Oreochromis niloticus: one gene and its partners. The protein of the gene in region 2 purifies or fractionates together with the protein of the main gene of each other region. This does not show direct contact. Links are inferred from orthologs where the notes say so. Each region holds a gene or a part of one and is shown on either strand. Other genes may lie near its edges.

Region 1 (7,341 bases), on a different chromosome or scaffold from region 2:
GCCCTAGTAAAGATTCAAGTTACAATTATTTATATTTCCTATCTCCTTAAATCTTCACTCAAAGACAAGTATCTTTGACAGTGTGTATATAGATGTATCATATATAAAAGACAAATATTGTTCTTTTAATATGTTGGCATTACTACATTTGGCTCAATGCTTACATATATGTGTAAAAAGAAAATGTACGAGCTGTGATAACTGTTGCTGATAAAATGAAGAGTAGACTGATATATGAAATATTCCTTTATTGGGTGAGAAAATCAGACCATGTCATAACTGCTTTAAGTCATACAGAATAGACATCAGAGCTTTAAACAGGCTGACTTCTGCTAAATGGGTCAAACTGGGCAGAAAGTCTACAAACACATAACATCCTTATAGAACATGATGTAACACTATAGATCAACTTACCTCAGAATATGTAAAGCATACAAACAGTTACAGCAATGTGATGCAACAAACACAGCAGTGCTACTAATCCAAAATACTCAAAGCTTCATAGAACTGAAACAAACATTTATTTTTAGCTCCATTCTGCTGCTGATATATACTTTAGGTTTCTGAATATGAAACTTGTTGCTGCCTTTCATAGTGTGTAACTTGAAGGCCCTGAGTACTTTCTCCCACACTGAAAACACTGGGATGATAACATTATTTGAACATTACCTAATAAGACTGATTCAGGACAGACAATTAGTTATGTTAAACTTTCCCAGCAGTCCTTCACAAACAGGGAACAGTCTGTCTATTCTCTCCATCTGTCAGCTGCTGCTGGCTCTTCCTCCTCCTCTTCCTCACACACTGCTGAGTTTGTCCTGGTGGATCATCAGGGCTGCAAAGCCTCACAGATGATGTGCAGCAGTGGGTCCCTCAGTCTGTCCTCACTCTGGACACTTGCAGTTGTCACACATGGAAATCAAATGTGCGATAAGCTGCAGGATTCAAACACAAGTGTAACTTATAAATACATGTTCATACTTTTATTCCACAATCAGAGAGAAAGAAACAGAGAGAGAGTGCAGGACAGACAGACAGGTGACAGTCTCAGGTGTATACACTGCTACAAAACAGCACAAGAGAAGGAGGATTTAGTGTTTGTGTTATTACGAGTACTAAAGAAGAAGAGTTCCCAGATGGTCCAGTGGACACATGTGTGACTCCTGTGATTAAAGCATCTTTCTTTCAGCTTAACGAGTGAACCGTCAGCTCGTTCAAACACACGTTAAAGTCCGTTTGGCTCGACACCACCGAACAGAGGCAGCAATATAACATAGCTAACATTAACAGTGCAGTGAATCCTGCTTGTGCCGTCATATTCAGGACTGCAAACCGAGCAGCATCACTGACTTTCAGCTTGTTGTGTTTGTGGATATATGACTGACTTTAATTATCCATAAAATCATCACATTCTCTGTAAGATTAAGGTCAACTATTGAACGGCGTATATTTTAAATAAAAGGCTTTAAAACCAAGTTAGTACAAACATCACTAATGTCACATAACTTTGCCGACATGTGGCCAACAGTAATGTTTTAATGTTCTTCATTATTAAACATTCGCACATATGTGAGTGACATCATATTCAGTACTTATGTTGGGTCTAAACTCAGACCCCGCTGTATCCAGGACTTATTCCCATGAAAGAAAAACAAGGCAACAGTGATCGATCGTTTTTACTTGCGCAAGGGAGGCCTTTGGTCAAGACCAGCTCTTGGAGCTCACGCTCCTATCTGTCTCCAGCCCAAAGTCCTTCAAAGAGCAGCTTCCCTCGCAGCTATTTATTGACAAACTGTTACAGTTCACACAATAGTTTACAACACGTACCTCCCCTCTTAACCCCCCTTGTTTACAAAGACGAGGCACTGTATGTATATATATGTGTGTGTGTGTGTGTGTGTGTGTGTGTGTGTGTGAGAAAGAGACCTCCTGCTGGGCAGGAAGCTTACATCAAACAGACCTTCCAGATAGGATGTGTCTGTAATCAAACCTACAGCCCCTCACCTAAAAACTCAAGAATCTGGGGAGGGGGACAGTGGAATTCCTTTCATCCTACAGTTAAACAATGTAGAAATGGATGGTAAGCATAAAAATGACAAACATTTAACCATCCACTATAACAACTTACTTTTGAAAGTTCACTCTTCGGCCGCTCCACTTCAGCCGCCTGCCGTATTTTTCGGCAAAATTATCCACACCCACCGCCACGCTATGAATTGTGGGATATATGTGACCACGAAGTGTACACCGGACCACACTTCAAATTTGGGGAAATGGACGGCAAATTTGTCGACGGCATTTGGAGTACACTTCGAACTGGGACAGGCGTCGTCACGGTGCTGTGGCATAATCGGTCTCCAAATGCGCACTACGAAGCATGTGGTCGCTGGGTTGGGACAAAGCCGTAGGCAGCGAAGGCTGCGTTCTCCAAGGATGCAGACCCTGAATTGACACACATGAACCTAATGACAGGACAGGTGAAGTGAAACTACATACAATGAACAAAGAACACCAGACTCTTTCAAAATACAACCGGAAACATGGAGACATAGACATGACACGAACTTGACAACAAGGACAACACAGTCATGAAACATGACAGGTAGACGTGTGGACCAGGGAGACTTAGTACAGGGGAAGATGACAAAAAGTACTAAGAAACAAAGGACTAAACTGCAATCTAAAAATTAACTACATGAGCTAAACTAGAACATAAATGAATACAAAAGATACATAAAAACTCATACACTGGGTCACACGACCCAGTACCCTGACAATTGCTGTGCAATGCCCAACCATTAAATGACAGTAAGAACTGACAGTAAGATTTACAGATTACTACAAAATTTACAGATTTTAACTGAGAAATTTACAGTAAAACAATGCAAATAACGATTTACAGAAGAAATTATGGATAAAAAGAAATTATAAATTATAAGAAGTGTGCAAATAAACAGAGCGTGTCCGGTGCAGTGATGTATGGGACTCCAGTCATGTCCTACAGCTGGTTCAGGGCCCGAATAGCCTGAGGGAGGAAGCTCCTCCTCATTCTCTCTGCTTTGGTCTTAAGGAAGCGTAAGCACTTCCCAGACCTCAACAGTGAGAAGAGTCCATTATTGGGATGGGAGAGGTCCATCATAATCTTCCTAGCTTTGGTCTTACACTGCTTGGTGTAGATGGACAGCAGGTCAGGAAGCTCTGCTCGAATGATGTGTTCGGCTGAGCGCACCACTCTTTGCAGATCTCGTCTGTCCTGCTTGGTGCTTTTCCCAAACCAGGTGCAGATGTTTCCATCAGGACGCTCTCGATGGTGCAGGAGTAAAAGTTCTTGAGCACCCTCAGTGGCAGATGGAAGTCTCTGAGTCTTCTGAGGAAGAAGAGACGCTGGTGAACTTTGGATTCTAGCCAATCATTTTACCTTTGCAAGCGTAGTAGGCGGGCCCAGATACATACATTCTTTTAGAGCTACAGATTAAAAATACCCAAGGCAAAGCGGTCAAAAGTCTGGCTGTACTTCACAGCAAAAGATGCAAACTCAGCAGCCTGCAACAAGTGCTTTAAGCTGATACTGTGATACTGTCAAAGGAGGTAACTCCTCGAATCTGATGAAACACCTGGCGATGTATAGCATTTTGTTAGAAGCCGAGAAATGCGCCATATTTGATAGCTTGCTGCGAGACCTCACACCGAGCACATCTACTGCGGGTGTGGTGCCTCGGACCCGGAGTTAGCAACATCCCCCAAAAACCCGAAGAGGAGAGTCCTGGCCCCTAGCCCTGCCAGTGTAGCAGAAATGATGACGATGATGATGGCAGCAGCAGCCGTTCTTCTCTGCGTGAGTATGAGTAATGTTGTTCGTGTGTAATTTACGTTGAGTAGGCTAACCACATTATTACATTAATGCATGTAAGGTGAACTAGCAAACACCGTCGTAGTTACATGCGGCTGTCTTCTTGTTTGATGGCAGGTACTCCCTTCACCCTGGCCAAAAAGGCTAAAATGACCAAAGAAAAAGTGGGAAACAGTTAAACATGAGAACATGAGGTTTTTGGACAAAGTTTGTGTTTTTACCATTGTTTAAGCACTGCTTCCAGCCAAGAGTGATGCCATATATGCCCTATAGCTGCAGAAAAGGCTAACTTTGTAATTGTTACTTGTGCTTCACAATAAAATATCTGAAGAGAAATAAAGAACGTTTTTTGGAAAACCAAACAAACAAAAACACACACGATATTGACTTGAGAGCAAGCTTGAGGATTTGTGCAGTTGTAGCATCCAGCCTGTGAGGGACAGTAATGCTTCACCTCTGCCTATTACTAACAAAGAAGAACAAAGCGGAAGTGACCTGCGTTTCCGGGGCGCGCGGTGATCGCATCGTTTTGTGGTTGTTGTTTTTATTTTTGTTGTTGTGGTTTTAAGTTTTCAGGAGATAAACATGTATGACCAGGATGAAGGTGAGCTGCACAGCCGTAAAACTTCATTACGTCACATGGTGGATTATTTTATTTGCATTTATTGGGTAATTTTATTAACAGGACGTGACAGAGGAGCTAACCCGTGCTACAGCTAACCATTTTAGTAATTTCTGAGAGAACAAAAGCTAGTATCACTCATCCAAACAAACACCTGTCACACAGGTACGCGTCGGCTTCACGCAGATCACGAGCCTCACCTGAATCGTGTGCTAACAGCAGCTAAAAGCAGCGGGGCTTTGTGTGAGCTAACAGGCTAAATGCTGCTAACGCACGAGGACCCTTTATTTAACTTATCGCTGCAGACGTTTACACTCAGCGTTACTGTGACACTACACCCACAAATACTGCAATTTATAAACAGTACCACAGTATAAACGCGAACACTTATATTATGTGTAAATTCTGCAGTATAAAAACAGTGTACAATCCGCCACATTTACACAGTATAAACACTGCATAAAGAAAGCTCTACCGTGATCAGAGATTGATCAGCGATGGAAGTAAACGTTGACCACAAGATACTTGACCGATCTATCTTTAAGTTAAAGGTGAGAGGTCATTACCCAGTTTCTCAGGGAGGCAAAGCTACAGGCAGCAGGTCAGTTCCTCCTGTCTTCTCCTCCTTACCTCCTTTTAACCTGTAAAGGTCATGAAATGAAAGAGATGATGAGAAAAATAGACGTGTGCTGTGCTGAGACACACTAGTCTCCTCAATTACGTGAGGCTGAAGGGCTGCCGTGTTAAAACTACAAAGTGCAGAAGATGGACTACAAAATGTCTTCCTTCATCACAGGTGTTTTACAGGTTGTGATAATGAAAATGTCCCTTCAAAGACAGGACAGGATGTCTGCTGCACCTCAAAACACTCAGCTGTCTTTATCCTGGAATAACTGAAGAGGTTTAGGACTCAAAGTCAGGGACAAAGTGTTTTTGCAGTACACTAATGACACAAGTATTTGTAAGAGGTTCCTTTCAAGAGCAGAATATTTAAATGAGCCACATTAACAGGATTTGTTCCACAAACTTTAACTCTGAGTAAATAGTTTGTGAAGCAGAGTAATAGCTGATTTGATCATTTATGATTCATTTGAATGAGGGGGACGAGAGAGTTTGTAATCAGCTCAAAGCTGTGAGAGCAGGTCCAAGACTCCTCACTTAAGTGTTTCAAAAGCCAAGCTTGGATTTTATGAAACAGTTGTTTGAGCTCACAGGGAGCGTCATCTGTAGTGTGAGAAATGAAAGTGAAGTGTCTGTCAGACTGCAGCTGTTAATGAGATTCTGTGTGGGCTGGAAAACGCTGAACGTTGGATTTAGCCGTGTGTCACCTCCATGACTCGTGATCTGACAGTAAATCATCACCATCGTGCGGTCAGCAGTTTGGAATCAGCTCTCTGATGAACCCTGCGGCTCAGTCTTCAGGACCTCACAGTTCATATCAACAGAGTTCTCCTGATACAACCAGCTTCAGGCTGTGTGCTGCATTTGCCTGCACTCAGATAGGAAGTGATGTCATTACACTCAACTCACACCAACAGGAAGTTTACTTAACAGATCAGATGTGTTGCTTCTGATTGATCAGTTTGCGTGATCAGAGCCAGTGAGTTGAAAACAGAACGATCAATAACTTTCCTGTGAGATTGTCATCTGTTTTTATTGATGTATCTGATCAATTCACCAGTTGTTTAAACTGATCAGTAAACTCTATGTGCAGTTATCTGTGAAAAGGAAGCAACCTGAACCGACAATCTGTCATTGATTGATCGGTGAAGCTTCTATGTCTCAGTATGTGTATTGCTCATGTATATTGATCCCTGCTGTCTCTGTCAGATAATCAGTATGATGAAGATGATGATGAGATCACTCCTGACCTGTGGCAGGAAGCGTGCTGGATCGTCATCAGGTAAACTCACCTGTGTGTCTTTGTGGAGATGTAGTGATCATCTGTTCTTACAGGAAAAATATTATGGTGAGTCCACACAAAGCGCGGACCGGAGGGCATGTACACGGACCCGCCATCGGTGTTCAAAGCTGACAGCTCAAAGGTCTCTGATGCTGCAGGTTTTGTCTCTCTCTGAACCAGCAGCAAAAGAAGATCAAACTACGTTTCTCGTTTGATAAACATAATCATTAATTCCCTCTGACTTTGGCTAGTTTCCCATCTCAGATCTCTGTTTTTTGCATTATTCACTGGCTCATTACCCACCAGCAATGTTCCCTCTAAGATACGCACGTGCGCAATTGCGCACTGCTGGCACGGTCTCTGTGCACAAAAAAAATTAACCTGAATTGCAATTAAAATTAAAACTTTAACAATTCTGTTTTGCAGTGTTAGCCAGTGAGTGACTGGCTGCTCCCGTATGGGATTAGAACGATTCCACCTTATCCCACAGTCCAGCCAATAATGCGATTCACATTCGTGTATATGCAGCCAATCATCGTCGTTGACAGGCTATGACAGCGTCCTTATGTGCCGACACCGGTGTTTTAGCTGGCAAAGCAGCGTGGCTGATGTGGAGTGAAGCCACGTTAATGACAACGTTTCCAACCATTGGAGATGTGAGCAGGACAGACGGAACAACTGACGGAAAAAGTGTGGACTTTATACCAGTTTTTAAATTGTGTTGATAGGCCACGTAAAACCAGAGTTATGATAAAATATCTGCAATGTTTGGTTTTCTTCCTGAATACTGTCGTTGTTTATATTTACTGCGGGAAGAAACGGTAAAAACGGCGTTTTATAAGGAAAACGCTCGAAAGCCTGTGAACAAAGACAACACCAAAAACCCCGCCCTTTCCTATTGGTGGAAAAATGTACCATGTGGACCAATCAAAAAATGATATGGCAACATGGCATTTAGTTTTTTAG
Region 2 (7,167 bases):
ACTACAAGCAGCCGTTTGCGTTTGCAACTGTAGCAAGGTTTACATCGCAGTGCTCTCTGCATACAGAGAGAGCCCAGAGGTCCTCTGTCAGACCGAAACAGAAACAACAGGCAGCTCCTTTTACAACAGGGTGGAGGCCAGCGGGAAGATCTTCTTGTAGACTTTACTGTCTGACAGGCAACACGCCTCAGCAGCCCACACATTCAACTCCACAAGTCAGCTCGAAAGCAGTTGAATAATACAACCAGCTCCTTTGCAGGGTGAGATCACACAGCAGTCGCAGCCGCTCTGCAACTCTAAAACTGTCATTTAGTTGCACTTTTCTAGTGAATGTTGTGTAAAATACACTGCAGCGTCACCACACTGCACAGCACTCTTTTGGGTTTTTTGCACTTTTTGGGGGGGAAAGGTGAATTTTCTAACTTTTGAATGACATTTTTAGGACACTCAACATACACATCTTTCAGACCAAAGAGGATGTCAAAGTGACAGACTCCCATGCCTTCCTGTGTAGTCTTTCCATTCTAAGCTGTTATTAATTGCTGAGAGGTGCAGATTAAAAATAACTAAATTTGCATGGACTTTTAAGTTTAGTTATGGGGAAGTTCCCACCTCCTCTGCTTTCTCTTTTTTGAGAGTGGCACTCTTCACAAAGAGGCAATAACATAACATCTGCATTTTCTGTTGTGTTTTTTTTTCTTTTCTTTTTTCTTTCCTCGGCACATGTTCATGTCCTTGAAGTCTGAGGCCAACTGATTGCAAAAAAAGCAGGAATAACTGTAATATGAAACCAGATTAAAACCCATCCTAAAATTTGCCAGGTAAAAATCTACACGTGATTTTGGTGCCAGCACTTAATGTTTTTCCCTCCACTGTTTTCTCTTACATTCTTCTGCTTACTGACTGGTCTGTTTGGTAACTGCACGCTTTAACCACCTGGTATACTTGCTGACCTCTAAAACGACATGAAAAGTCAGGCAAAGCTCGTTCCTACACTTTAGAGCCCATAAACTTACATTAATGTTTTCAGGGTATTGTCAGACCAACTTAAAAGGTGTAAATATTATATTTATGTGGATACAATAGATTTAAAAATGGAAACAAGTAGAAAATACCGGAAACATCAAGAGTATCAAAGGTGAAAAAAACAAACGCCACATGAGGAAGTAACGTCCAGTCAATTATTTGACGTTAGTAGTTTAAATGATACATTGTATGATTTTAAAATGTATTGTTTAAAAGTGTTCAAAGAGTGGAGAAACTGAAATATATCAGGAGCCCTGTTAAACAACAGTATTGTGTCTCTACGCATTTATGCTTAACTGCGCCTTTCCCCCCACCGAGAACCGAGTTTGCTGTTAGCCATTTTCTACTCACTTTGTCCTCCTCGGGAATAAGAGTTTCGGCGTCCTTCTTCACATCTTTCTGTGCCAGAGCCGTGTTAAATGATACCTTGACCATCTTGGAACAAGTGGCGACAATCTCCGAGAGAAAGGGAAAAAAAGCAACACGACAGAAAGCAAACAACAGCAAAGACAATTTGCTCCGAAGTAAAAATAAGTCGCACTTCTCCCCCGGCCAAGTCTGCTCTGTTGTTGTGATAAGAGCGATGTAAAGCTAGACTTAGAGTCGCCGCGCTTCCGACTTTCAAAATAAAAGCATATCCACGACGATTAATCTAAGACGTTCCGATATTTGACTGAAATACGACAATATAAAAGCAAAATGGCACAATCCAAGCTTAAAACTTAGCTTAAAAAGAACATCAGTGTGAAATTATGTAATTATCTGTATATACGTGCTGTATTATACCTTATTATACTTGCTTTTATTATACTTTATTTTATAGCCTCTCCTATATAAGATATGTATTTCAAAGCGATTTACAATAGGCCGAGAAGCACAGTGAATGGGAATGCTAGACAAACAACAAATAAAACAATGCAGAAAACAATTAACGAAAAACTCATTTAACATATTTAATAATATACCTACTTAAAAGAACATATAAATGACTGTTAAATAATAAAATAGATAAATAATACAAAAAGACAAGTAATAGACTAAAATGTTTTATTTAAATATAGAACAATAAAACTGTGCAAATATTATGAAAGTGATTAGATCACGACTGTTGCTCTGGTACCTAGAGCTGTCAATAAATATTATATCATTTACTTCCGAAATGTAGTGGAACACATACACTAAACTCAAGACTTTATTACTATAAATATAATTTATAGAGTTTATTACTTTTCTGGGATGTATTTACATAACCAACCATCAACACCAAGGAGTGGGGGACAATCCGAGCTACACACACTGATTAATACGATAAAAGTAAGGCAGGGGCGTCAAACATAAGCCCAGGGACCAGAATCACCTCTCCAATCTGGCCCCTGGGACAGCTTTTTAAACTGTATTTTCATAAGTTTTATGAGTTTTCCTACTGATCAAAAAACTCCCCCATGACCACTAACCTAAAATAAACAAGGAATGAAAACACAAATGACACTTTTTTACCATCATTATTCAAATCTATCATTTTTGCAGTGGCTTTACAGGAGAAATACAAAAACAAAAATTCTTTCAATTAACAAAAATGTTCTGTTTGTATAAGTAAAAGACCATCTGTGCCATAAGCCAATAGAACTTTTTCTGTATTAATACATTTGGGTGTAAATTTAATACAATTAACGTAATTAGTGGAAGTAATTTATGCATTTATTTATAACAGTTTAAGCCCAAGGAGTTGTGCTGAAAAACTTCAGTATTTCTCTGTAATGCAGAAAAACTGAGATGTATTGTGTAATGTGTAGTTAAACTTCTTTGCAATGACAGAAGTAGGAGTTAAGCTCAAATCTGGCTTTATATTTACACAGTGTAAAAGGAGTTTGATAACCCTGCCATAACATAAGAGAAAATAAGAAAATTAACATAATGGCACGAACATAAATGATGACTAAAAAGTGGTAGTGGATTAAAGAAATCCAAAATTTAAATAATTTAATGGGCTTCAAGAAAATATACACATTTTTGATTTACAGAAAAAACAGAAGAACTGTCAGTTTTAACTGATGAGCTATATAATGAATTCAGAATATATCGTATTTATTTGATTCAAATATCTCAACAAACCACGTGAATAAAATCAGGCTGCAATGTGAGTTCTCATCTCCGAAAGGCAATATCCAACCACGAAATACAGATACACTGTACACAGCTTCCAAGAGAAAAAAGTTTATATGTATTTTATCTTTTAATTACTGTGGCACTTTTCCCATTTTGCATAAATGCTTGCATTACATAAACTTTTGTGAAATTTTAAGCTGGTTTGCACTTTTATTTTGACGGTCCGGAAGCTTCTTCAGTTTCGGTTTGCGCTGTCTACGGCCTGCCACAGACTGGGGGAAACAGCCGACATCTGGGAAATGGCTGTTTCCCCCTGGTCGGGGACATGGGAACTAAATAAAATAAAGCTGTGTGAACACATTTATATACAGTGACAAAAAAACAAAACAAAAGATTAATACAATTCTTTCACGCCAGCTGGGATGTATGATGTGTGATGTACTCAAAAAAAGAAAAACAATGAAAAAAATATGGCAGAAGTACTGTATTCATTTTTATTTTCAAGCGCTTGAATCGTTACTTGAATATTTCCACATTATGTCCCGTCATAATAATATATATATATTATCAACCTTTCCAACTTAATGTACTCCTTAATTTTTCATTCGTGTCGCTTTTCGCTTGAATGAAGGTGAAATACGCTGATAACAGAAAAAAAATATTTGACGCTCTTATCTTCGTAAATGACAGGTAACCTATAATTAAAAACATAGGTCTGACAAATAAATGCAGTGCATTAAAAAGTAAAAAACAAAAAAACGGGAGGAATTTATTTGGAGTAGATGAACTTAGTACAAATTATTGAAAATTATAGATATATAAATAAGGCACCATAAGTCTAGATTAGAATATGGCTGCCAATAATACTTTTTTTTTGTTTGTTTTTTTGGGGCTGCCGATAATACTAATGTAATAACGCCAACAAATGCTACGGAAGTGAGAACAGGAGTCATATCTCTAGCATACCCTAGAGACCAAAACGCAAATTGCCCGAAAACAATAAAGAAGAAGAAGAAGAAGAAGAAGCATTAGCATGTTGGAACATCATTTCCTGTCTTGCGCAAACCAGAGGAAAGAAAGTAAACATGGCGGCGGCGGAGAAATCGACGAAGGAGAGACTACTGTCTGTGCTGGATGATTTGGAGGTTTTATCCAGGTAAAATTAAACTTCGTGTGGGGGCTTTCTTGTGTCTCGTGTAAACGGTTTGGTAAGCTATCCGTATTTTATCTGTGAAGAGATAAAATACTCATATTTGGAGCCGTGAACTAGCACCCCCAGTTTGTGCTGATTACTAGCAGACATGCCGCTCACTGGCCGAAACAACGGCTTTTCTGAAAGAAAGATAACGAACCCTGGGATTTGAAACAACCTGAAACACTGTTCTAAGTCTTTTCTTGGAAACTTTTAGCAGTTAGAAGACTGAGTGTGTCCATTTTATAAAACAAGGTTGCTGAAGAGTTTGTAGGTACTACACTCAGCGGCTAATAGTCATTTTTAAAAGGAAACTACCACAAGAATGGCCAAAATGACTAATCAGAGAAACAAAGTGAACATAGGCGTACAGAAAACGATCGTCAGTATGAGCTTTAAAAAGTAAATAAATATATAAAGATAGAAATTGATTTGTTGGATTGAGTTGTGCTGTTTGACCCATTTCTCATTGTGTGTGCGTTCATTTCAGGGAGCTGATAGAGATGCTGGCCCTGTCCAGGAGTCAGAAAATGCCTCAACCTGGAGAGGACACGCAGGTAACACCCCACTCAGCCTGCAGTTGACACACCGAGATTTAAACAAACTAATGACCCTCACAGTGACCGTCAGACCATGTGTAGTCTTAGGGTTAGTGGTGATCAAAGCTTAGCCAAAGGCCTTCTACAAGCAAGTCTCACTATGTGGCAGCTATTCTAAAATGTCTCCAGCTATATATTTGGTCAGTGTTGTGAAACACTGTCCAGTTTGATACTTGTCTGCCACTCGGTGTCTGTATTTTTCCAGTTTCTGGTACTTGATCTTTAAGTTCTTTGTGGACTTGCACAGTCTTAAGTTTTTTGCTTTTTGCTGTTTTAAAGTTTTGGTGAGACATGATCACTGATACAGGATCACTGTTTCTTTAAGGACAAACCCTGTGCTTAATTGCTAACCATAATTTTTTAGATTTAAGCATTTAATTTTAATGCGGTCACATTTGAAGATATTTAGTTCCTTCCAACTGATTTTCTGTCGTCTTGTCCATAAATCTTTCATAACTTTTGAACCTTTTATTGTGTCTGAGTCTCCAGAGAATGCCTAAAATTATTTTACAAGTTAGACTTGACTGATTTTAGTTAGTTACAGTAACCTGTATGAAGCGTATCAAATAGGAAATCTTTGATAACAGAATGTGTATATGCTTTATCCATAAGATTCTGGAGCTGTTGGTGCAGAGGGACAAGGAGTTTCAGGAGCTGATGGAGGTGGCACAGCAGCAGGGGAAGGTTCACCAGGAGATGCAACTGCTGGAGAAGGAGGTGGAGAAGAGAGACAGTGACATCCAGCAGCTCCAGAAACAACTGAAGGAAGCAGAACACATCCTGGTGGGTTTGGCTTGTCTGTTGTTTTTAATTTTTAATTTTTTTTTTTTCATCCAGAGCAGGGCAACGCTGACAGATTGAAATAAATGCTCAAATGTTTTAAGTATGCTGGTGTAGCTGACACTGTGCTCTTACAGCAGAGGCGTTCAGGGTTATAGTGTTGCTATTGTAAATGTAAAGGGGCCTATGATTCTCTTCTTTTTCTGATTTACTTTGTTACAGATGTACATATTAAACATGGTCAAGGTTTAAAATAATGAGGCCAGCATATGAAGAGTCATGATAAACAGAAACTACATCTTCTTTAAATTCTAACATCATGTGACAAGTGATAGAGAGGACTGATATATTTCTGTGTATCTCTTTCAGGCCACTGCTGTTTACCAGGCAAAAGAGAAACTGAAATCCATTGAAAGAGCCAGGAAAGGTGAGGGAACACTCCCGACACGTTCTGGTGAAAGCTGTGTTTGATGGCTGGTTTTCTCTTTGATGTCTTGCTCATAAATTGACACTGTTTACATGTTCTCTGCAGGAAGCATCTCATCAGAAGAAATCATCAAGTATGCTCACAGAATCAGTGCCAGTAACGCTGTGTGTGCTCCTCTCAACTGGGTGCCAGGTATGTGCCAGGCTCTCTTGTAGCTCCCACCGGGTGTTGGTAAAAAGTTATGTTCAGCTTCATTCACTGTCATCATACTTGACAGGTGATCCACGCAGACCGTACCCTACCGACCTGGAAATGCGTAGTGGGATGCTTGGTCACATGGCCAACCTGTCCACCAATGGTGTGAATGGGCATCTGCCAGGAGATGCATTAGCTGCTGGGAGGTTACCAGGTAAGTCCAGCTGAGCAGTTAAAGAAAGGAGTGCCCATGCCTCCTGGCAAAGAGATTGTAGATGAGGTCAGAGGTTTGTTACAGTGATTTCAAAATGTATAAGTTAATAATTTATCGTTATAATGATAAAAAGTTAAAGGATGGATCCATTATTTTTCTTTTTATCAAGTATAAACACTGAACACAGATTTTATTTGTTGCCATTCAGACTGCATCCACATCATGTTCTGTAACATAAGAAACTTGGCAAAAAGTGCCAGCTTTCAGATACTATATAAGGGAGCTGAGATAAGTAGTGTCAGTCAGTGTCTGGCATTTCACAGAATAACCACTTTTCTCTCGTGTCACTTCAGACGTCCTGACGCCTCATTACCCGTGGCAGTCGTCTGATGTCTCAGTGGGGATGCTGCCCCCTCACCACGGCAATGACTTTGGCCTGGAGCCTCCGGGTCACAACAAGGAGAACGAAGATGATGTAGAGGCCATGTCCACAGATTCTTCCAGCAGCAGTAGTGACTCCGACTAAAAGTGTGTCTCAGAGTCAAGAGACGCTGAGACGTGTGTGTGTGTGTGTGTGTGTGTGTGTGTGTGTGTGTGTCTGTATGTTGGACTCAGAGCTCACCAGCGA
Region 3 (6,974 bases), on a different chromosome or scaffold from region 2:
ATCGTATAAAACATACCAAATAATGCATCACAAATGAGTCCATGGATATAATGCTAATTGTTAATGCTGACATTAGTTTATAAAGCGAGGAAAATGTTTGCAGGATTGTATAACATAATCCATATGAGCATACAATCACACAAAGAGAAATTTTGCTGTAGTTTGCGACCTGTCACCACATACACGTTGAGCTTTAGACTCTAAGAAAACACACCTGGTGCTGGCAGGGAAAATGCAAGAAATATGGGGGGAAAAAATCATTATGTTCTTGGAAATAGCTTTAAAGTCATATTCTAATATAAGCAAGGAGAGAAAACAGACTGTAATCTTACCACTGTTTTAAATTTCATATAAACCTAGGGTGCATAATGACAGCTGGTAGACATGGCCCCATGTACTGTAACTGAAATAAAGTACAATAAAAATAACTTGCAACTGGAAGATGATCAGCTGTGCTTATTTACTAAAGTTCATTTGCACGTTTAGCACTTTGTTTGCTCTAATGCAGTAAAAACAAGTATCAGACAGTCTGGCTGGCTTAGTTTAAAAAGAAAAAAAGAAAAAAAGTGGAGGGTTCCAATGCACAGCAGAGGAGGAATAAAAATTTGCATTATAAAATATTTATTGATACAAGAGTTCCTGAAAAATGAATTACTATGGGGCTATGAGGGCAAATTTATTGAGCCTGTGTGAACAAAACATGGCCAGAAGTTTCTGTTTACTGAGCGTGATGTGAAATATTAGCTACAGTAAAGTAATGTGTTAATATTTAATACTTCATTAACACACTTAGGTGGTGGCAAAATAAATACAATAATAATAAATGGTATAAACTCTACGAGGTACCTACTGGTGCCAAATTATAGGCACGAGGGAGGGACTCACAAAGCACAGAAGTAATGCAAAGACAGTTAATAATTACAAGCCAGAGGTATATCATTAACGAGCTACTTTCATAAAAGGTTGCCAGCAGGTCAGCATCTACCTGTGTTGCTTGACATTGGCCGTTAGAAATTCCATTATTATACATTACAACAGTGAGATGTATGAAAGGCAAATGTGTCTCTTTCAGGAAATGGATAAAATGCTTGTAGTCCTTCCTGTGACTGGGTTGTTGTAATGATTCTCACTGCATCACCTTAAATTTCCCAGCATTTCCCAGTTAGCAGGAATACTTAATGCAATGGGATTCATCCTCAGGGGATCATGAACAACTGCTCTGCACTTAAGTGTAACTCAGTCTATCCAATACAATCCATCCAATATTTGTTAGGACATTTCTGAGTGTGAAACTGACCAATCAATGGCCCACTGACGCTTTCATTGTTTAAGAGACCCCGCAAGTGTAGCTACTGGACGAAGATGCACACCTTTGCTTTAAATGTATCAATCTTGACATTTGAAAATATGAGACACTCTCCCAGGTTAGCAACTAATCCAATTTTTGAGTGAACACCGACTCAACTGCACATGTTTGGCTAGGTATGTTTTCTCTGTAGAGTTTGAATAATCGTAATAATTAGAGGTGGAGCGTTGACGGCCTGTTACATTTTTGGAGCAGATTCTTTAAAATTGCACGATAGTGCATTGACTAAGAATGAAGAGCGCTTTCTCTGAGTGAGTGCCCTTCCAGTTTTAATTAAGCCCTCAGCCAGCAGCCAGGGTTTGAAAAGTTTTTGTCTCCTCCGCCTCAAGAGCTCACATGATTCATTTCCATCTCCTCTATGCATGAAACGCGGTAACTATGTCACCTCTAGCCCTGACTTGACAATGAGAGGTCTGTTCTTAGAGCCTCTTAACTGTGAGGTGTGCCATGTGTTTTGCAATAGTTATTATTATGGTGAGGATTTAAATGTAACGTGTCATTCCCACAATCTATTGCTGTAAATGCAGGGAACTGTGGCAAACTGACAGCTGACCGTTTTTGGTCTAAAGAAATGGCTCCCCGGGTTATGATTTTATAACCACATGAAGGTGAGGGTGTGCATGCGTAGGCAAGTGTGCGTAAATGTGTGCACACACGTGTAGAAATGTGATGGCTTGAGCAAGATGCAAGCAGTTCTCCTCTATATTTGTTTGAATTCACAAGCATCTGTTCACATGACACACTGTGATATTCTTATCGTGTTATCTGGTCCCTCCCTTTTTACCGCTGTGACAAATATCCATCCATTACTGCATGTCTCATATTTGGAGACCATAGTGTATCTTAATGGTTCTATTACTGTATTTACTGTGGTCGCTGGCAACTGTTCGCCCACATGCTACAATATCTGCATTGTCTCACCCACTCACAAAGGGTTTAGGTGCTGGTGGGAAGGTGGAGAGCCTACACTTTTGAGTAGATAACAATAAAGCTGCTTAAACACAGACATAAACGCATAAACGCGCACACACACACACACACACACACACACACACACACACACACAGTTCAACCCCATAAGGTTTCACTTTGATTTTCCTTTTTTTTTTCAGGAATAAACTCCTGACACAACTTCCTATACATATTTAAATTACAGGGAGGCTGGGTATTTCCGGTACCTATGCGCAGCACAGACCTGACATGTATAGCCTGTTGTGTCACACTGTGGTTTAAAAAATGAATGGCAACAAGAAAATAGCACAGATTCGAGGGCACGATACGGTCCACAAGTGTCACCCTCCACCCTATAGCAATTAACTGCGCTAATACCGGCCAGGTTCTTGAATGAGGTGGTCCGTGGATGGCAGCTTCTCCACCACTATCTACAGCTATGGATCCACATACCTAATAATCGCCTGTAAAATAGCTTTATATATGGAAAGAAAAAATGTGTTTGATCGCCTTTCCACTCCCCCCTCACATTCTCACCTGCTCGTTCCTTGCAAGCTCCTTCTCCAGTTGTCGGTGTTTGTTGTGCCACACCAGATAGTGGATAGGATAACGACTCTTCTCCGGAGTTTTCTTAGCAGAAATCATCCTCGGATCATAGTTTGCCTCTCCCTCCTCTTTCTTCACTGTGGATCGCAAGAATACTTTGTCACAGATTTACGCTATACAATTAATCCTATCATCCTGCATCGGCGGTGATGCCCAAAGGCGTGTAGGGCAACCTTACGCGTCAGAAACAGTGGATGGCTCCCTGCTCGCTCTGCTTAGAATAAACGCAAAAGCCCCATGAAATCATTTAGAAATAAAGATAAGGGGGGAGAAAAGCCCTCCCTTGATTGTGTCAGTAGATTGGGTTACACCTTTATTCCTTATCCACCCGTTCCTCCTCCTCTCGCTTTCTCTTCCTCGCTCTCTTTCTCCCCTGCCTACTCTAACGCGTCTATCCTCCTCCTCTCCTCCCATCCGGTGGTGACTGAGAAAGATGCATTGACAAGCTGCAATGAAATGGGCGCACACTCAGCCAATCCGCTGTCAGGGCTCTGATAAAACACATGCCTTGTGAAAAAGAAAAAGAAATCGAAATGATGCGTTTAAAGTGAACCAGGCCCACATAGCATAGGAGTGTTATAAAGGAGGTGTGGGCGTACTGTGGAGAAGGCTGGGGAGCGCACGACATGACAGCAAAAGACAAAATTCATCAAAGTTGAAATGAAAGCCAAACTTCTTGATTCTTTTTGTTCCTCTACTCTTATTCTGCGTTATTCACAGCAGATTTTTCTTGTCGACACGACAGAAAAGTGAAACAGATAAATCCAATAAATCAATAGCACTTTAATGTTTCATTTGACTGCTAAAGCTGCTCAGCCATTGAATGTTCATTAAGAGGTCAGAGAAGGTGATCACGATATTTCTGCTTAAATGGAGCAGTGTGTGTCTTATATCTAAATGCTGATTAACATCAAGTAACTTTTCTGTCAGCATGAATTTTAGATTGTGATTAAGTCCCACTCTATCGAAACCACCTCACCTTTAAGAATATAAGGTTATCATCACGCCCTGTCCCTCCCTGTCCTAAGTTGTCGGGATGTTGGGTGTGTGTGTGTGTGCGCGCTCGTGTGTGTCAGAGTGAGTGAGCGCGAGCGCGGATACTGTCAGGTAAAGAGCTGCCGTCTCTCGGTGAGTTGCAGGCAATGCAGGGAACAGATTTACTGTAGCAATATTCCGAGATGAGATCCTTTATATAAACAGATTAACTATGTTCACATAACTTGGATCCAGTCTTGGAGTTCATCAGCGAACGTGGGCGAACAGACCGCTGGAATTAACGGGAAGCTCAGTCGTCGTCAGCTGGCCGGGGGAAAAGCCGATCATACCACCCGGCTTCCGGGGATTCAGGGGCCGCATCGGTTGACGGCAGACGTCGGTCTGTAGCTCGGGGGGGAAGACGGGCGAATATTCACATCATCGCCGACATCCACCTCTCCGTTTCATCCACTTTCGAGATGTCGAGAAAGCTACAAAGAACAGAAGTCTGCGCTGACTGCAGTGCGCCAGGTAAGGAACAGAAAAAAAGAGAAAACAGACCATGGGACTGGAACAATGCGTCGATAGGGGCGACGTGGTGGGAGAACAAGGCCGAAGTTGCTGTCATTGTCAGAGGGTCTGCAGAGCAGGAAAACGGCCAGGGCTCCAAAGCGTCGTTTAGGCCCAAAATAAACACTGGAAAAAATAGGCGTGTTGCCACAACGGGAGAATATCTCTAGCTAACAGCTGCTCAACGTTAATGTAAGCCATTGAATAACTTGATAGGTATATTTATTTGACCACGGCCATATGTGAGAACGAGCAGTTTATTTGGGGCAATTTAAGATCCGAGTGTCAGCTTTATGCTGCCTTCCCACTCGAAGAGACGTTTGTTTTGATTTTCGTGACCGGGACAGACTTCCGAACACGTTAGCTTAGCTTGGCTAGCGAGCTGGCGATTTTGAGTCACTATGCAGCTGTGTGATAGAAGAATTTATGGTAGAGTGAATGTCCTGAGATATAATAATACATTTATAGCGATGAACAGCTATCATATTGTTAGCACTTGCCCGTGGCTTTTGGAGTTTGTGCTTTTTATACTGCTAGCTTAGCTATGACGTTAGCTACTTCAGCTAACTTTTGCTAAACGCCAAGTTATTGCCAAGCTGATTCAGCTAAAGCGTCAGCGACCAGTCAATAGCTTTAACAACAATTTGGCTTAAAAAATACAGTAAAGTATCAAAAACGTAACTAGAGTTTCTGTTTGTTTAACTTGATGATTTTAGAATATCTACAGTAAAGTTAAGAAATAAAATAATGAGAATTAATAGGAGTAAATTCAGTTTACAGTCATCCTAAGTTGGAGCACAATTCAACATAAACCTGAAATGAGCCATACCTGTAGTTGTACCTCAAAATCATTTAAAAGCCACCTCAGTTACATTAACCTAGTACAACACAAAGTTAATTTCTAGCTTCACCTGTCTCAGCTTTCATCCATACTGTTCAGGGCGTAGTGATTTCCACTACAGTGACCATCCATAATTCTAGGTTAGTTTCCAACCCACTTCTCCTTTGGCCCCATCTGTGTTTGTTAAAATCTGATTAGAGGCAATGTTAATAAGACCCTTCGTATGTAGCCCCAAATGCACGTGCTGTTTCAGTTCGATCCCCTTGATCATTGGTGATCTTGTGTGCCTTGCTTGCATTCATTCATGTATACATGTGCAGCAGCTGCTCTTATGACAGCTGCGACCCCTGATAACTCTAAACTGTCTATATGCTGCAGTCCAGCCTTGCATTGCACACCTTGCTATTATTACTTACTAACATGCTTCAGCACCTATTTGCCTTTTCTGGTTCCCTTTGAGTTACTTTTTACATACTGATGAAACCCCAGTTGAACTCCTTTCGTTGATACTATATTAACCTGCAGAATAACAACATGCGCATTATCTGTGACATATTAGTTATGTTTTAAAGCTTTAGTTTATTTACTAGACAAAATAAGGCATTCACAATGGTAGATGGCTTGTTCGCGTACCTGTTACTAGCCGTGCATTTCTTCTACAACCATCATCTCTCTGCATGTAGCCTCCTTGCGACTTACACACACACACACACGCACGCAGTGCTTTCTGCAAAATGCTGACCTAGCCCCCTGGTGACAGGCCACCTCCCTACTACCCAGCTTTGTGTCATACTGGGGGGATAACTCAATGGCATTGCTACAAAGGACGACTGATACTCCTTTCGTAGCCAAGCTTCAGGAGCCTTTAATGTCACACCATGGCAATCTGCACAGTTTATGGCAACAGTGAATCACATCGTCACTATAGTAAACTCTTTATTGCGCACAGATGCATTTGTTTAGGAAACTGAAACTCTTGTGCAACTATTCACAGAAGAGAACAGCGGGGTTGAGTCGATATGTTGTGTTGGTGTCCGTGTCAGGCTTTGCTGTTGTTGCTGTGTTTGGTTAAATTTAGAAGTAAGATGGAGTAAATCCGGCAAGCTGAAACTTAGTACAATTAAACACTGTATTAAAATGCATTGTGATATACACCAAATGAGCCTGAAGCTAACCCGTTAATGGCCAAAGTATACAGATGTGTGCAACATGTTATCTCAGTGTTTGAGAGTGGAGTGTAACACAATTTTAAAAACTTGCACTCATTTGTAGCATATGTTTTTGTGCAGGGTTAGCTGACACGTATAAAAACAAATGTTATACTGGATTGATGAATTAGGCCAACTTTAGGCAACATTATGCAGCAACATGCTGCAGATTTCACCAATACAGCACTGCTAATAGTCTATCCACTTCTAATAGCTTAATGGCATAGCCTCATATTGATTTAGCAGACCAGGCAGATAGCCTAGCCTGTGGGAGTTTTTTTTAATATTTATTACACAGATTAAGGAATTAAATTGCTGCGGCCTTTAAAGCCTACAGGGCTGCTGTTCTAAACTGAGCTATAGCTTTTTTTAAAAGCCATTTTGCATTTCCTATTTCTTTTTTTCTATGGGCAAAAAGACTTAAAGCACACCGGTTCATCTGATGATGGACTATTTT
Region 4 (7,742 bases), on a different chromosome or scaffold from region 2:
TGCGTCTGAAAGTATTCAGCCACTCCAGTAATGAGTCACCATTAGAAGTTTCTGCTCCAGGTTCTGTGCCCCCTGTAGGAAGGGGAAAAAAAAGAAGAAAAAAAAGGTTACGATTAGGTAAATTAAATCATTAAATCTACTTCTCTTTTCACAGGTCTCTAGCAGAAATCTTGCTTTTGTTCTCTTGCAACAATATAAAAGCCATTTTAAACTATTCAAAACCAGTACTTAGACTGTATTTACTGTCAGGCTAAAACATAAATACAAACACGGTTCAACAAAGCACGCCGTCTTGTTTGGTACCAGCTTAGGCAAGGTTTAAAATAAATACAAGACCTTCACAGAACATATTATGAAACCTGTCTTTTGTCATCCTTTTTTTTTCCTTTTTCTTTTTTTTTGCTGCCAAAGCAAGTCCTTAAAGATTATTTTGTGTTTTTCCTGTCCTGTGTTTTTGATTTTTTTAAATCAAAAATTAAGTAACTTTTGGCTGTGTTTTGACTGTTGTCGTTATTTCGTCTAATATGCAAGTCTGAGTGTGCAGGTGCCTCTCCGTGATTGGTGCATCCAGGGGACGGATCGTACGGATTGGCTAATGACCGGGGAACAACATATAGGAAGACACCGCCATGGACGGCCGTTCATTCATCCTCGGCCAATCCCAACCAGCAGACTTTGTGTTCCCTGTTTAGCTATGTTTGTTTGATGCAGGAGCATGTAGGGGTGGACTGCCTTTTTGTTTGAGTTTTCTCCTGTTTTGTTAGTTAGGAAGGTAAGTCGCTGTCGTTTGGTTTAATTCTTTTGAGTAGGTAAGTTTGATTTATCCTTGAGATAGGCTCCCTTTGTTTGTTATTTTGGCCTTAGGTCCACCCCGAAGTTTTAATTCGCTCCCTTCCTTTGTTTTTAAATTCACTTATTGTAAATAAATCACAGTCAAAAAGTACTGATTGTGCGATGTGTTGCTTGGGGTCAGATAGGGATGGATCACCCTTATGTTATGGTCTGGCCACCCCTAGGCGGGCCGTAAAAGCTGCTCCATTATTTCCTAAAGCTGCGTACACATATGAAATGATTCGTTCATTGGACATTGCTTCGAAGCTGATGGCCAGTCATTTGTGGACATTCTAAGCTCCAGTTCCCTCAGTAAGCCCCTAATAAGTTTACTACCAGGTCATATGTCAATCATGGGTAGTCTTCAATCTCATTACTCGTCTGTTCATTTACTCCTCTGAAAGTTGACAACGGTTTATCACGAGTGACACCTACTTCCTTTCCCCAGCACTCATTTTGTCTTTATTCACTTGAATTTTGATGACTTTCTAGGGTCTCTAGTCGCCACATTGCTGTGAATTGCTTCCAGTGTGTACGCAGCTTTAGGGGTCACCACAGCAGATGGATCCCTAAAGACCCCGGTATACCCCTTCGTTTGTGACTTCACACGTCACCAGTGCTTGTCACATAGCCACTTCTATTTACTCTCATCGGACAGGCGCAGGTAGCTGCTGCTGTATTCTGATGAATGATAGGTGCCGTGACTCAGACACTACCACCACATTAGTGCTGATAGGAAGAGAAGTAGACAAAACTGAAAGTAAAGACATTTGAAATAAATCCAGAGCAAAATTTTTTCCATCTCTTCAAACTGCTGCAGCATCTCCCTAAGTATAATCTGCGAATCTCTGACCTTCTCTACTGATACATCTTTAAAACTGCAGCGAGAACTAACATGATTTTAAACTCTTATCTTAAACCCTGCTGCAAACTGCCAGGTTACAAAAGTCACGAGGTTGATTCTGCTTCTCACCCCAGAATCAAACCACAGATCTTTTGCATGTAAGGTGAATGTTCTACCACTATACCACAGAGCCATTTAACTCAAAAGTGACTTTGGGGCTTAACATAAAACAAAACATCACAAAAGCCAGATCTGGAAAGATTAAGGGAAGAAGTCCTTCCTACCTGCTCCTCGTCTCCCTCCAGCACCTCTCTCTTCTCCCTCACCGCTGCTGCTCTGCTGCTCTCCAGACTCAGAAGTCTGTGAGCGCTGCTCGGTAGAAGGCTGAGATGACAAACGCTCTTTTGCTCCATCCAGACGCTGGCGGAGCTCTTCAGCAGTCACCTCCCCTGTAAAACAAATATTTCATGGGCTTTGTGTTTTTTGTACAATAAAAATAACTGTGGGTACAGATACAACAACATGGCGCAAAAGCATCAAGTGCCCCTCCTTACCAGGAGTGCCCAGCAGGTTGCCATCTCTCATTAGACGGTACTCCTCTTCACTCAGTTCATTAATGAAGTGATAGTACGCCTCCTCCCTTCGAAGACGCTCTGCCTGCCTCCGCCGTTCATCTCCCCCACCAGGAGGGTCCATCACCGTGTAAAGTGCTGGCAGACAAATAAGCAAGAGTCAGTCACGGATGATCTGTCACTTAGTTACCCTCTGTAGATATTTGTCTTTCTAATATGTTGCAGATGAACAAGTCATGTGTTAGCTAATGGTCATCTGATTCGGTTATGGACAAGCAAAGATCAAACTGTTATATAGCGAGCAGTTGCTATAAATAAGACCAGCGCAAAACACAGTGCAAATATGAGCTGTTTGCTCAACGTTGTCTTTGAGTGACTATTTCTACCCAAGGGCAACAGTTAAATCAACGCCATCCATTTTCTGTCGAAACACTTACAGCAAAAGAATGGAAATGGCTACGTTAATCTTGCTAACGTTTAGCCTAGAGGTTAGCGCCGAAAATTCATCAAATTTAATTATGCCCATGCTCAGTTAAATCCCTACCACGGTAAATCTAAGGGGTAGTGTAACAATGAAGCAGTCATCACGAAACCTAACATTAACGCAGTGACAACAGTATCCACGGAAGGCCATGTTGAAGGCAGCGGAATAAAGCAACAAAACTGGCGTTGTCATCCTGGTTAGCCACCAATCAGCGGCGTAATCTCAAGACGGACACGCCAGGCATCCAATCAGCGTTGAACATAGGCGGGCCGTGATAAACCGAAAGGGAGGCTTCCTCCATGTAAACGCAGGGCAAACAGTGAAAGACAAAGAATCTCGTCAGCGCTATTAGAGAATTACAAAATCGAGATGTTGACACATAGTAGCGATTACGACAACATTGGCTCAACATTACAATTAGAATTGTGGATATTTAAAAAGCCATTTAAGTGCGCAATGCTTCAGCTACTAACTCAGCGCTAGCTCGTTAGCACAACCAGCGTTAGCGACTACCACATAGCTCCGCTAGCCGACCCACCAGCGAGCTACGAGGCTCATTAACTTATCATAATTTATTATGACAGAACGTTTTCTCAAGCAGTGGGAGTACACGGAACCTATCACTTAACCCTAACACACTTTCATAAGAGATGACAGTGGCATGTAAAAGAATTTCGTACCTGACGAGGCAGCTGTAATATGGACGGTTCGCTTTGCTCTCTCTGCTCTCTCAAATCAAGATGGGACCAGCGGTGCTGCACTACAGCGTCGGTCAAAAACAAGATGCCCGGCTATAATAGTTCCTACCTAACATAACATCAAAGCTAAGCTCAAGGTTTGGCTGACCTAGGTGACAGCAGTGAATGTCAGTGTAAAAGCATCATTTATAAAGTTGCTATACTTTTATTCAGCTATACTATACTATCTAAAACTTCAAAGTATTTTTCTCAGAAATGTGAGTTAGTAAGATTACATTTCGAGATTAAAACACGGAAATTTTGACTTTTTTTTAGTGGTGGGAACAAGCTTCACATTAGGGTTCTTGATGCCTTTGTTTAAATTATTTTAAATATTCTAAATATTCAGCTAATCATATATTGTATCTCAGTCATAACTGCCACTCTTTATTGGCAATTATAAAGGTTGCTGGCTGCAGAAGCTAAAATAGCTCTTCCAACATTCCAGGGTATGGTAATGAGTGGATAGGTTCTTGGACCAATCATAGCAGTTTTCCACTTTTAAAATACTTTAAACTGATTCACTTAGATTTCCAATGGGAGTGGGACCAAGATTAGAAATTAGCATATCAGAGGCACACCTCAAATTGAAACAAAATTAGAGAGGCAAGGCTGAGATGGTTTGAACATGTGCAGAGCAGGGATAGTGGATATATTGAACAAAGGTACTGAAGATGGAGCTGCCAGGGAGGAAAAGAGGAAGACCACAGAGGAGGTTCATGGACATAGTGAAGGGGGACATGCAGAGGGTTGGTGTAACAGAGGAGGATGCTAGAGATATGGTGAGATGGAGGGAGATGATCCACTGTGGTGACCACTAAAGGAAGCAGCAAAAAGAAGATGATAAAAAGAGTTTAAAAGTATATTGTTTTTTGTCTCCCTTTTTTATACGTTTCATTACTTTATCCCGTGACTGCCCATTCAACATTAATCTGTTTGGACAGTCTTTTTCTTTTCACAATATAGTGCTATTTAAACCATACTTTACTTATTCTCTTGAATTAAAATCAAATGCATGTCTGCTTTCTTTGTGGTGGACAGAATGTGCAGATATTTGTTTGCACAGCCCTCTTATAGCCACGTAATAACCCACAATACGGAAAATAATAAGCTAGCTTCTCCTTAGCATAAAGACGATACGATGATATCAAGTCATATCTCAGCTATATTTGAGTGAGAGTGAGAATTTCCACGTGGTATAGCCAGCCTACCCATTTTTTCTTTGGCTCTTTCTCTGCTGCAGGGCTGTCTTCACGACGTTTTACGACAATGCCGTGCGCGAATACGCCGTCGTTACCGAGTGAAGTGCGTCCCTTCGGAGCAGATACCGGCTGAAGAGAAACGCAGCAACAAGATAAAGGAATATATTTGGGGCTCCGTTTCCACCTGGACCATCTCGGAGCGCCGCATATCTCCTCCGGAGCTTTAAATTTAAGACGAGAACTCGATGTGAAAGCCGGGCTGGAGGAAGGAAAGAGCCACGCTGGAGAAGGCAACTAGCTGAATTACCAAACCGAGCTCGGTGGAGGAGCCTAGTTGCCTCCCAAGCGACGCTTTAAAAAAGGAAGGAGCGGATACATTCAGGCCAGACGGTGGTAAAAATGGACTATGATTTTAAAGTGAAGCTGACCGGCGAAAGAGAGCGTGTCGAGGACCTGTTTGAGTACGAAGGATGCAAAGTGGGTAGAGGCACCTACGGCCATGTATACAAGGCGAAGAGAAAAGATGGGTGAGTTGATGAGCAGCAAGGCCTTTTAGCCAGTGAACCCTAGCCAGCTTACCCCCCCGCCTCCTGCCTCTCTTCTCATCTTCCAAATAAATGTTACCTCTCTCCTCTTCCTCCCCCTTTCAAGGCCACTTGCAGATGTGGGAGTGTTGCAGTGGGTTTGTGTAGAGACAAAAGAGAGCAGTGTGAGCAGTTTCAGCTCGCACTGTTGGGATGCTGATGAAGCTTTGTGTCGCGCACAAAAAACACCGACATACGGTTTACCACCGGGATTGGAGCTTTCCCTTTTCATGCATCTGTTTTGTCACGTATATGCCTAACTCTAGGTACTATTTTTTATTTATTTAAGCTAAAGTATTTTTTAATTCCCCCCCCCATGCGATGTAGTAAATGTAATACAGCAGGTGCATGTGGAAGCACTTGTTGATGTCTTCTTTTTTTTAAGTCTTTGTTATACATGATACCAAAGAGACTTTTACAAGATTTTGTGTGAATTCAAAAAATAATCTTTAGTTATGCCCAGTTTTTGCACTCTTAAGTCTTTTTTTTTTTTTTTTTTACCCAATTTTATCATTATTTTTTTTATGCTTTTAGCCTTTGCATGAAGTAAAGTAAGGGAAATAGCTGAACCCAAACTGTAGACTTATGTGGTGCATGGTTAGTGTGCTAATCCCTCAGGATGCCAGGGCACCACCCACCTTTCTTCCTAAAACTTTCCTGCTGTTTCTAATGTGAGCCTTGTAACAGCCTTAACTGTGTCTGGACCAGAGCTGGGGGAGAGCTCAAGACGGTTTAAGCTACTAGTCCCGTTATTACAGCCCGGACATACTGGCAGCAGGAACCACACAAAAGAGTCCTAAAGTGTTTAAAGATGTCTGTATTTCGCTTTAGGAGCCTGCTTTTTTTATGAGACTTTTTAGCAGAGTTGCGCTGCTGCTTTTGGACGAGGCCTGAGGAGGCACAAAGCTTGGGTTTATGAGATGATTTAGGCCCGGCAGAGGGAGGGGTTGTAACCAATTCGTTCAAGTAAGCGCCAGTGCCAGTGCTCTGTTTGTCCCTTGCCAGCTGCCAGACAGGCCCTGTTTCCTTTCCCTCTCTATTGTTTTGACCCTCAGAGGTGAGCTTGATTACACAAATTTGGAGGTAATGCAACTCGGCCTCTTCTCAGAGTCCCACTGGCAGCTGCCAAGTGCCCCCCTTTATGTTGCTGTGCAAACGGCTCTCAGGGGGCCCTCAGTCTGGACTGGTCTGGGCTGGTCTGGTGTTGATGTTGCTCTACCTTTCTGTGTGTGTGTGTGTGTGTGTGTGTGTGTGTGTCTGTGTGTTTGTAGGAAGGATGATAAGGACTACGCCCTCAAGCAGATTGAAGGCACTGGCATCTCCATGTCAGCCTGCAGAGAGATTGCAGTAAGAGCTGCTTGGCTTACTCTGTTCCTTTTGTTTGGTCTGTGATTAAACACCTTCTTGCCATTCCAGGTGCTTTATGTAACGTCTGAATGACCTTCACACGCTAGTTTTTGTCAAGAAAATGAAAAATGTGAAATACAAGCAATTGTAAAATTGAAAAGTCAGGAAGCAGATGTTAATGCAGTGCATATAGAGAGTAGACACAGAATTAGTGATATGACGTATTGCCTCACAAGCGGTTTTCTTTAAAACATCTTACTACCAAAGATTAAAAGTGTTCAGTTGAGGAGATGATATCGTGTCCACCCCCCTGTTTAAGTATAAATTCTGGTAATCAGTACAGTCGCAAAAATAAGTGCAAAGTTTCTCTTTCGTTACGTCATTTTCATTCATGATGTCTGTAATGAGATTGTGTGGTTGGCCTTCTGAGTGGGTTTGTATGTTGCAGCTGCTGCGGGAGCTGAAGCACCCCAATGTCATCTCACTGCAGAAGGTTTTCCTGTCACATGCTGACCGTAAAGTATGGCTGCTCTTTGACTATGCTGAACATGATCTCTGGGTAAAATGCAAACACACAACACACACATACACACACACTTGACCTGCATGACATGACTTATCATACATATTATGAGGGTAATGCATGTTGGGTTTTTTTAAAATTGTTTGTTTTAAGCATTTCTTTATTAGTTTATATTCATATGCATGCATGGGTTGCAGATTTCCACCTATTTTTATGAGCACAAAGACATGACTTAAATAGGCCTCTCTTCATAATTAGGTCATAAATGTCCATGCAATTTGATAGCAGTTTTTTGGGGGGGGGTTGCATGTCCTTTCTTTTAAAAAATGCCAAATCCCTTTTAATGCCGATGCATTCACATTCGCTTTCAACCAGTAATAAGGAACGAGACTTGAAATAGTGCTAATTATGCATTGGTAAGTCTCATTAAAGCACACACATCCACCAAGAAGTATTCCATGTTGAGCAGTTAAACCTCTGCTGCATTACCGTTGACAGAAACAGCTGGCAGAGAATCAGAACTGAGTTAGATGCCGTTTTCTGCCACAGAGCTCCAACAATTGCATTCCCCTCCCAAGGAAGTGGAAACACATGTCACAAACATTAGGCTCTCTCAAC

The links.
Region 1: the proteins of med4 (region 2) and polr2b purify together in Homo sapiens (affinity purification with mass spectrometry; 3 studies listed by BioGRID and IntAct, with this or other methods). This does not show direct contact. The link is inferred for Oreochromis niloticus from reciprocal best matches to the Homo sapiens genes MED4 and POLR2B.
Region 3: the proteins of med4 (region 2) and git1 purify together in Homo sapiens (affinity purification with mass spectrometry; 3 studies listed by BioGRID and IntAct, with this or other methods). This does not show direct contact. The link is inferred for Oreochromis niloticus from reciprocal best matches to the Homo sapiens genes MED4 and GIT1.
Region 4: the proteins of med4 (region 2) and cdk8 purify together in Homo sapiens (affinity purification with mass spectrometry; 9 studies listed by BioGRID and IntAct, counting the BioPlex papers as one, with this or other methods). This does not show direct contact. The link is inferred for Oreochromis niloticus from reciprocal best matches to the Homo sapiens genes MED4 and CDK8.

What each region holds. Positions count from the first base shown.
Region 1 is NC_031966.2:36,396,735-36,404,075, reverse strand, and holds the start of polr2b (DNA-directed RNA polymerase II subunit RPB2), read left to right. Parts: upstream 1-4,318; 5' UTR 4,319-4,435; coding exon 4,436-4,454; intron 4,455-6,302; coding exon 6,303-6,375; intron 6,376-7,341. UniProt on the Homo sapiens protein: Catalytic core component of RNA polymerase II (Pol II), a DNA-dependent RNA polymerase which synthesizes mRNA precursors and many functional non-coding RNAs using the four ribonucleoside triphosphates as substrates.
Region 2 is NC_031987.2:29,462,625-29,469,791, forward strand, and holds the start of med4 (mediator of RNA polymerase II transcription subunit 4), read left to right. Parts: upstream 1-4,143; 5' UTR 4,144-4,217; coding exon 4,218-4,288; intron 4,289-4,814; coding exon 4,815-4,881; intron 4,882-5,535; coding exon 5,536-5,706; intron 5,707-6,072; coding exon 6,073-6,130; intron 6,131-6,235; coding exon 6,236-6,322; intron 6,323-6,407; coding exon 6,408-6,539; intron 6,540-6,892; coding exon 6,893-7,065; 3' UTR 7,066-7,167. Other genes in the region: itm2bb (integral membrane protein 2Bb), read right to left, coding at 1,378-1,461. UniProt on the Homo sapiens protein: Component of the Mediator complex, a coactivator involved in the regulated transcription of nearly all RNA polymerase II-dependent genes.
Region 3 is NC_031979.2:10,581,194-10,588,167, reverse strand, and holds the start of git1 (ARF GTPase-activating protein GIT1), read left to right. Parts: upstream 1-3,960; 5' UTR 3,961-4,051; exon of another isoform or gene 4,052-4,153; 5' UTR 4,154-4,377; coding exon 4,378-4,429; intron 4,430-4,481; exon of another isoform or gene 4,482-4,660; intron 4,661-5,379; coding exon of another isoform or gene 5,380-5,395; exon of another isoform or gene 5,396-5,518; intron 5,519-6,974. Other genes in the region: ankrd13b (ankyrin repeat domain-containing protein 13B), read right to left, coding at 2,855-3,000, 5,380-5,395. UniProt on the Homo sapiens protein: GTPase-activating protein for ADP ribosylation factor family members, including ARF1.
Region 4 is NC_031974.2:18,859,661-18,867,402, forward strand, and holds the start of cdk8 (cyclin-dependent kinase 8), read left to right. Parts: upstream 1-4,719; 5' UTR 4,720-5,069; coding exon 5,070-5,197; intron 5,198-6,525; coding exon 6,526-6,601; intron 6,602-7,049; coding exon 7,050-7,160; intron 7,161-7,742. Other genes in the region: E3 ubiquitin-protein ligase RNF6, read right to left, coding at 1-72, 1,960-2,124, 2,230-2,385, 4,680-4,683.